2 linked regions of the Danio rerio genome follow. Each later gene encodes a partner of the first gene's protein in a complex. Links are inferred from orthologs where the notes say so. Each region holds a gene or a part of one and is shown on either strand. Other genes may lie near its edges.

Region 1 (4,341 bases):
TCCAACACAAACCAACAAACAAACAAATGAACAACAAACCAAAAACAAAACAAAAGGCTTCTCAGTATTTTACATCAAAATACAATATCACCTCTATTACTAATCTTCTAGTAAAACATTTACAAATCCACCACCTTTTAAAAACAGAGTAAAAGGTCCCCAAACTCTATCAAAAATTATATATCTATTTCTTATCATATAAGTTATTTTTTTTCCATTTTCATGTTTGTCACCATCTCTTTCAGCCAACAACCTATAGTTGGTGCACATGTACTTTTCCGATTTAAAGAAATAAGCCGTTTCGCTTGTAGAATGCATATATTCAAAAACATTTGCCCCATCTTTTTTAACTTGATCTCCTTGGGATATAAATGAAATAAAAAAATTAAAGGAGACATTGGTATAGAAACCTCAAGAATATTTTCTATAATTTCTTTCATACATTTCCAAAAGTTCTGTATTCCTTTACATTCCCATATACAGTGATACAACGTTCATTTTTGGTCCCTACATCTCAAGCAATTATCTGGAATATTTTCATTATATTTATGCAATAAAACTGGAGTTATATAAATCCTCATCAACCATTTATATTGTAACAGTTTTAGACGAGTGTTCATTGTTAGTGATTGAGCATCCAGTCCTCTGTAGAAATATCCTCCTCAAGATCTAATCTCCAAGCTACCAATTTACAATTTGAAGATTCCTTTGATGCTGACACCAGCATCTTGTATAATGCAGAAATTAAACCTTCACTAAAACAGTCTTTTGTTATTACGTTTTCCAAAATAAAGAATGATGGCATATCTAGAGAATTATTTTGTAATTTAAAGATAAAATCTCTCTATCTATTTGTAAATATTTAAAGAAATGTTTTGCAGGAATATTATATTTACTCACAATTTCCTAAAGCAACATTTATTGATGAAACCTGCAAAACAACAAATAAATAAATAATAAAAATATATATAAATTCACAAATTTAGTTATGTCATATTTATTTATTTGCATATTTATTTACTTATTGTTTTATTTATGCAAAAATGTATGGATTTACTTACTCATTTAAATATTTATCTGTGTGTTTATGTATTTATTTATTGTTTTTGCAGTTTTCGTCCTTCATAGGCTCTAGTATACTAATACACATTATAAATGGCTATGTTTTACATAAGCTTTCTTTTAATAATAATGTCCATATTAAAGCTCTTCTTTCTTTCTTTCTTTCTTTCTTTCTTTCTTTCTTTCTTTCTTTCTTTCTTTCTTTCTTTCTTTCTTTCTTTCTTTCTTTCTTTCTTTCTTTCTTTCTTTCTTTCTTTCTTTCTTTATTTCTCAATATAATATACCTGCATGAATAAATAAAAACCTCATTGGGTTTGGCTTTTGCCCTTCAATGACCCTTCTCACAGCGTTGACTGTCAACGTCACTGCCCTCCACCAATCCGTTCACAAGGGGCGGAGCTCAAAAAACATGTCGTCCATATCGGAGCTGTACGATGTCACTTGGGAAGGTAAATGACTTTATTTTCGTTAACAGCGCTTATTACGTGATTTACTTACAATATGTAGTGATTCAATAGTCACCAGAGTTCTAGATTTTGTAAAGGTTATCGCCTAAAGTTTCTTATTTGTTGTGCTTTTCATTAAAGACAAAATGCTAGCCAGTTAGCATATGTAGGCAGAGCTTAGTAACAGAACCTGTGTTTTTACGACTGTCGTTTACAAATATTACAATGTGTTTTGTATTTGAATGTCATGTTGTACATGTATAATGCTAAAAATGATTAATCTGTTGATGTCTGGTCTGTTTTCGGTAAAATGAGGATTTGCAAAGACCAGATATGCAATACTAATGTATCCCAAGTAATATTTGTATGTACAATCAATAAGAATGAGTCAGTTTACTTGATAAGATCCCCATCAGCATCATCATCTCCTGTTGTTTTTGTGATTAACCTGACAAAATCTAATATTTTAATTCAGTTCAATAATCTTCAGATTTAGATAATTTATCTTATTACACATTATCTTATTATACTGATATGATATTATCTATAAAACATGAACCTCTAGATGTGTGATAAAACTTTTGACAATAAGGCATATATAGGTTGATTGTCGTGAAAATAATATATTATCAAAATAAATAATAAATATTAATAAATATTATTAAAAATCAGATATTAGCTTTTCATTCTTACATTTTCCGGTCATGGAAAACTTTAACAAGTAGAAGTATACATTACAATTATTAATAATCAGTAAGTACACAAGATTTTTATGCCACATTTTGTTTGCTTGTTATTTTTTATTTACATGCGTATTTACATTAATTATAATTTATGCTGTTGAGGTAAAGTTGGTTTTATGTTCGCACATTCGTTCCGTGACAACTTCTGACACGCTCCCTATAGTGTTTACTAGGCTTGGATGATAACTGATTTCAAAGTTTACTGCAGTTTGGAAAAGTCAAGGTATTAAAACCGCAAAAATGTTTTGTTAAACTGTTTCTAATGTATACAAAGAGGGGTTTTAAGTGTTTTTAATCTGTTGTAAGGAAATCTGTGTTTTTGCTTATGAAGATAGTACAAATCAATGGTTTAATTGAATTTTGTAGCCTGACATGTTCACTGTTCCAAAATATAAATATTTCCTAAAATGTAATGTATTGTCTTAAATAGGGAAATTTTTTATTTTTTACTAAGACATTTAAAAAAATTATTTTAGAGCAGTAAACACAATACCCCAATACTGTGTGATAGATCCAAACTTACATTGGCCCATGCCTAGTGTTTACTGTTGTACTTTGTATATCCGGTCTGAAATTGCATGTAAGTATGACTTGAAAACAACATTAGCACTATTTATCTGCTTGTGAACAATGTTGTGCTTTGATAGTCATTGGCTGCTAATATGAGAAAGAAAACTTTTCTGAAATTATAATATTATTGAATCAGAATTGTCGTTGACCAGCAGCCAAAGACACATGCAATTTGTAGAATCACTGCAAAGTTTAACCATAATAGAGTGAAAGTTTATTATTTGCATGTGTTTTGAGGAGAGTTTAAAACATTTGGGCACCAGAAATGTATTATGTTTGGAGGTATAACAAAAAAAATACTGTATTTAATTATATGATTTATGCACAAAAGCTTAAAAAATCATTGTTGTCTTGTTTCTATTCAAAATTGCATGTAAGTATGACTTAAAAAAAACACCACTAGCACTAATAATAATTCCTAAAGTTATATCAGGGCTCAACAATAAAGACTGCCCAATGAGAGACTCTCAGGACAAGGTGCTACAATATTGTTCTAAGCAGACAATAAAACAAACAAAACAATTAGGAACATACTGTACATTGTTTACAAAATAATATTTTATAATAGGATGTTTGGGATGTTTGGAATCAGCACTAATATGTATTGCTCTCCTCATGACCGCCTTTTCCCATAGAGTCTGTATGGGCTCGTATTGTTTTATTCCTACGATTTTCATGGCTGTTTTTCAGTAGACAGAATTGTTGTTACCTGCCTGATTAGGCCAGTGCTGCGTTGTCACAAAATTTTAACTTGCCTGTGATTACGAAAATCAAGAACCAATAAACAGGTTGTGCTTTTAAGCCTTTGAATTATACCTTTACTGTGAAGTCATAAACACCATATTGCTTTTCGGTTTCTTTTATCTGATAGGATATTTTGAGCATGTTTATTTTTCCGTAACCTGGTAAAAACCACTAAAGACATAGACGTGTATTTTACAAGCTAAACGTATTATTGCTCTTAATTGGAAAAATATAAATGAACCTTGAATAGGAAAGTGGATTAAAGAAATAGCATCGCATATGTCAATGCAAAAGATCACATACATTTTCAAAAAGAAAGAAAATGTGTTTGTAGATATCTGGAGACCTTTTAATAACCTCCTGAAGTACAATTTAAATGTTGGCGCTTGGCAGTCTGCTACAACAAGAACAAGCTTAGGAATATAGGGAGTAACACGGTCTAAACATAGACACAGGAAACAATCTTTACCTCATTTAAACCTATCCCTTTTTTTTTGCTCTTGTTTATTTATTTATTTATTTTTTTAAAGGGGAATGGGTCAATGGGAGGGAGAATAGGGAGTAACAAGTTTGTTGTATCTTCATGATTGTTATTCTGTAATTGTAAAATCTGTTGTGATATGCAAATTGAAAAAAATAATAAATATATTGTACAAAAAAATAAATAAAATAAAACACTACAGTGAAGAGATGCCAACATCAAATTATCAGGCTAAAAGAAAAAGTTTGTTCCTAACGTCTTGGAAACAGACATTTTAGTGGGTAAAGCACGACAA
Region 2 (4,584 bases), on another chromosome or scaffold:
TACATCACTGGTAGTTACTATTATTCCACTACTAAAAATAGTTTTTACTTCCTGTGGTTCAAACATGCTGAAAAGTAATAGTTGGAGAAATTGTGAAACCCGTCACGTATGTGTGTGTGTGTGTACACATTACCTTTCTTCTTTTTCTCATCATCTTCATTTTTATCTGTCTCCATCTCCTATTGAAATATTTTACATACATATTGTCATAATTAATATTTGTAATATTAATTCAGAAAGCATAATTATCAATATTGAGCTGCATGCCAACCTCGTCCTCTGGGGCAGGGGGATCAGGAATGGGTATGTCCAGGGGTGCATGGAGAGATGAGAGGTCAGTGATACTAAACTCATCGCCCTAAAATCATAAAGAAATATTTTAATTCAGTTGTTGCTGAATTCAAGCTAAAACAACTCTGTTGAGCTGGAACAGGGTAATGATGAGTTCATTTAAAGACACATATAGCCTAGTGTTTATTAGCATGTAGTCACATCTGCCAAATAATCAAATGTTCGCAAAATATACCTTCAGCAGGTTGTCAAGGTGTGAGATCTTCAATGGTATGTAATTGGAGAACAGGTCTTCTGCCTGTCAACAAAAGAACTATCAGTCAACACAAACAACAGTGCAGCAACAAGACTGAATGCAGCCTATGTTTGGATTATCTGAAGTAAACTCATACCTGCTTATACAGTGACTGGCGGTAGTTTTCTATCTGGATGAAGATAAGACAAACGTTCAATTACAATTCATTTATCTTAGAAATTATTTTTCTACAAGCATCGCGCTTCAGGTAAAGTTACTTTCACTTTCACTGTCAATGAGGAAGTGTGACTCAGGATTTTTGTAACATATAAATTGAGATATTAAGCAGTTGTTACGTTCGATAACATCCATACATTCGACAAAAAGACCTTTAAAACGTCTTACAGGTTCCATACTCAATGCACAGCTTAAACAAACGGTTTTTACTTCGAGTTTGTAAACGGAGATTATATAAAGATTATAAAGATGAACTTACCCTCACTGCATTATCAGAGTTTAGCTTCAGTACATTAGCTTTAGACATAATGAAAGCAATTTGTCTTAATAAGCGAAGCAGGTCGCAAGCAGAGAGACGCAGACGTTTAGATGACAAATTTCCCTTCGCGATACTTTCGATTTCTAAACGACGCCCACTGGGTTCACGTCAGGACTCTGGGTAAGTACCGGTGAACTACCAAAAATATGCATTTCCATATTACTGTCGAAAATGTTACAACACCCATTTCTATCTGTTTTTATTTAATACAGAAATATGACAATTTTATAAGAAATAAGGAATCGTCATTCAACCAATGCCTTGATAATTAACACAAATAGCAATTAATAGCTTAAACGTTATGTTTATGTAAAAGCAGAGACAGAACACAAGATAAAGAGAAAAAATAAAATTAAAATTGAGCGCCACAAAATCCTAATGGAATATGTCCCAAACTATGCACTATTATTAATTATTATAATTATTATTCATATAGATTATTGTTATAATGGCTTCTCCTTTTCCTCAAGCACGGTCGTTTTGGGGAAAAATCAAGCCCTGCAGGCGGCAGTAATGCGTGATTTGTGCAAAAGCACGACCATGACGTCACGAAGAAGAAACAACGCCGCAGTCATCCTCAATGTCCGTTCGCTTTTATGAAGTGTTTATGAAGTAAACAGCAAAATATTTCTGTTTTAATTTGTTTGATTTAATCAGTGGATTTTTTTATTTGACTACTACAAAAGGGAAGAACAATATAAGGGTGAGTGTATTCTTACGAAGCTTTTATATGAGGAATAAAGCGTTTACTGCTAAATTAAATGTTGTCTTCGATTGACATAAAGAGCCTTGATTTGATTGCGTAGATTTTAGATTTTATTATGCCTTTTTTGTTGTGAATTCTTGGAATTTCTGCCAATTTTCTTTCATCCTCCATATAAAACGCTTGTCTAAGGGGGGTGTCTGGGATGCTGGAATTTATCCGTCGTCCTGGGCTGAATGCTGGGGAACATCCTGGTCAGATTGGCAGTCAATCTCAAGACTAACGATATATTGGACACATACACATTTCTACACACAAGCAATACTGTTTCAAATTAATCTAACCTTCACCTAGAGGAAACCCACTTCAACACAGGAAAAACATACAAAATTAACATAAACGGGCCTTTAAACGGGCAGTTGTTAAACTTGGCAAAAGATCTCCTTGATATCTAAAATAACGTGGTGTATTAGTTTTTGAGTAAATGTTTAACAAGCACCTGTTACTGTTAGTATCGGAAGAAAATATTTTCTTGACAGTTTAGACATACAAATCCAAATGACAAGTCTAAAATTAAACGTAAAACATTTTAAATAGTTAGTTTGAAGCTCTCAGCAAGAAAATGCAGGTTTTTAAAGAGCAGAGTGAAATAAAAAAGTAGTTCCACAAAAATAAAACACCAACATTGTCAGGATAAAGTTGCTAAAAAATAAAAGTTGTATTGTGTTTTCCCACTTTGCTTCAGTTGTTCAGACAACGATTCACAAAAACGACTCAAAGTCATATTATGGCTGTCATGTACATAAACATGCTGTCATAGGTTCCATAATTTGGGATTTAGTGTTGGCATGGTTTCATTTTCAAAACTGTAAATTGAAAGTGCATACATCAGCCGTTTTCCATTTAGCTGTTAACAGCCCTTTAGTAATTGCTCAAATTTGGCCTGTGTAATAATATTCTGATCTGTTTCAAACATTTAGCACATAAAAACACAAATACATAGAACTTCTAAAACAAAGTACATTATTGAAGGTTAGAGTAAAGGTTAAGTGGTAAAAAATAGTCATATATATATAGTCATATATATCATTTTTCATTAAAAAGAGTTAAACTACACAAATGTTGGGGGAATAAGAAAATGCTAAACTGAAAGTTTATTTATTTCCCCTTCAAATGTATATTCATTTCTAGAACATAGTTACTTTTCCTCATGTCAACATGCTAATAAGCGGGTGTCTATCTGTCAGAACTGAAGACAGTCAAAAAAAAAAACAAAAAAAGCAACATTTTTCTTACGATCAACCAATGATGGCATAAAGGCAGCCTTCTACTGATTGACAGACACCCTCTCATTGGCTTGTTTTAGGAAAAATACGCAACTGCGTTCAAGAATTAATAAACATTTGAAAGGAGGGAAAATAAACTTTTAGTTTGCAGTTTCTCATTTTCCCAACATTCATGTAATTTATTTAATATTTACCTGCCCACACTATTAATTCTTTAAATATTTATTTATGCAGGAGTTTATATTTTTTTACATACATTTATTTATTTATTTGCATATTTATTTATTTATTTAATGTTTAATTTATGCAGGAATTTATTTTAAATTTATTACAAATTTATTTACTCATTTATTTATATATTTGTGTATTTATTTATTTGTATGTTTCTATTATTTTATGACACAGTCCACACAATCAATCTCTGTATATTGGTGCAAGTTCATAGCTAATACAACCGGTATATAATGTTGATAGAACATCCATCTGTAAATATCACTATAGTTTTTTCTATAACTGCACTTTATAACTTATACTTGTATCCTGAACTTGCTGCTATTGCACTGCCTAAACTGGACCTAAGCTGCATTTTGTTGCATTGTACTTGTACATGTGTAATGACAGTAAAGTTGAATCTAATCTAATCTAAATGTAATGCACATAAAAACACTGACAAAAACTGTATTTACATGCAGAAAATTCCTATATTTATGTGGCTAATAGTACTTCACACTCTCCATTCATATAATTGTTTTTACTATTTTATTGATTTTTTTTTAGCTTTATCTTTTTTTTTTCTCCCAAGATGGGCGAGGTGGAGCTATCCTGTTTGGCTTATGCCAAGATGTATCTTCATGCCAGTCAGTTTCCACGCTGCAGTGTGAACGGCCTGCTGTTGTCGTCCAGTACAGCAGGGGGAGCCTTATGCATCACAGACTGTGTTCCGCTGCTCCACTCACACCTGTCTCTGGCTCCAATCACACAGCTAGCGCTTACACAGGTAACTATACTGTATTCCCAGTGGACATTGAATGTGCACACAGAGTTTCTTCATCTGCAATTGCATATGTTATTTGTAGGTTTGCTTAAAAACATGCCTTTTGACCAATACAAATGATCATTCACTGTATTAGGCATTTATTTACTAGACAACATTAGTTTTTCACTAGCTTTTGCAATTAATTTGGATACTCCTCATCTACTTATTTAAGAAAATAAACACATCTTTAAAAATATAGACCTCTTGCATATTTCAGGTACTGTTTTTTTACATTATTAGTCCTTGTATAGACACAGATAAAGAAACCAATATCTACAACTGTCTGAAAATACTTTCCCCAAAGCTTTTAAGTTGGTACCATGGTGCTGATTTACTAAACAGGGCAAATTGAGAGTGCAATCCCATTAAAGAAATGATAGCATTGAAAAATAGTGTGTGTGATCTACTGACCATTCATAAATTGGGTTTATGAATGCAGACCTTTTATTTTCAGTCAGCCAGCTCAAGCACTTCTGG

What was found.
Region 2: emc2 (region 1) and emc9 share a complex: the UniProt entries of both Homo sapiens proteins name them as parts of the ER membrane protein complex. The link is inferred for Danio rerio from reciprocal best matches to the Homo sapiens genes EMC2 and EMC9.

Annotation. Positions count from the first base shown.
Region 1 is NC_133191.1:43,065,212-43,069,552, forward strand, and holds the start of emc2 (ER membrane protein complex subunit 2), read left to right. Parts: upstream 1-1,445; 5' UTR 1,446-1,471; coding exon 1,472-1,511; intron 1,512-4,341. UniProt on the Homo sapiens protein: Part of the endoplasmic reticulum membrane protein complex (EMC) that enables the energy-independent insertion into endoplasmic reticulum membranes of newly synthesized membrane proteins.
Region 2 is NC_133187.1:13,888,513-13,893,096, reverse strand, and holds the start of emc9 (ER membrane protein complex subunit 9), read left to right. Parts: upstream 1-1,637; 5' UTR 1,638-1,785; intron 1,786-3,848; exon of another isoform or gene 3,849-3,873; coding exon 3,874-4,068; intron 4,069-4,584. Other genes in the region: psme2 (proteasome activator complex subunit 2), read right to left, coding at 134-179, 272-358, 527-589, 684-716, 1,023-1,070. UniProt on the Homo sapiens protein: Part of the endoplasmic reticulum membrane protein complex (EMC) that enables the energy-independent insertion into endoplasmic reticulum membranes of newly synthesized membrane proteins.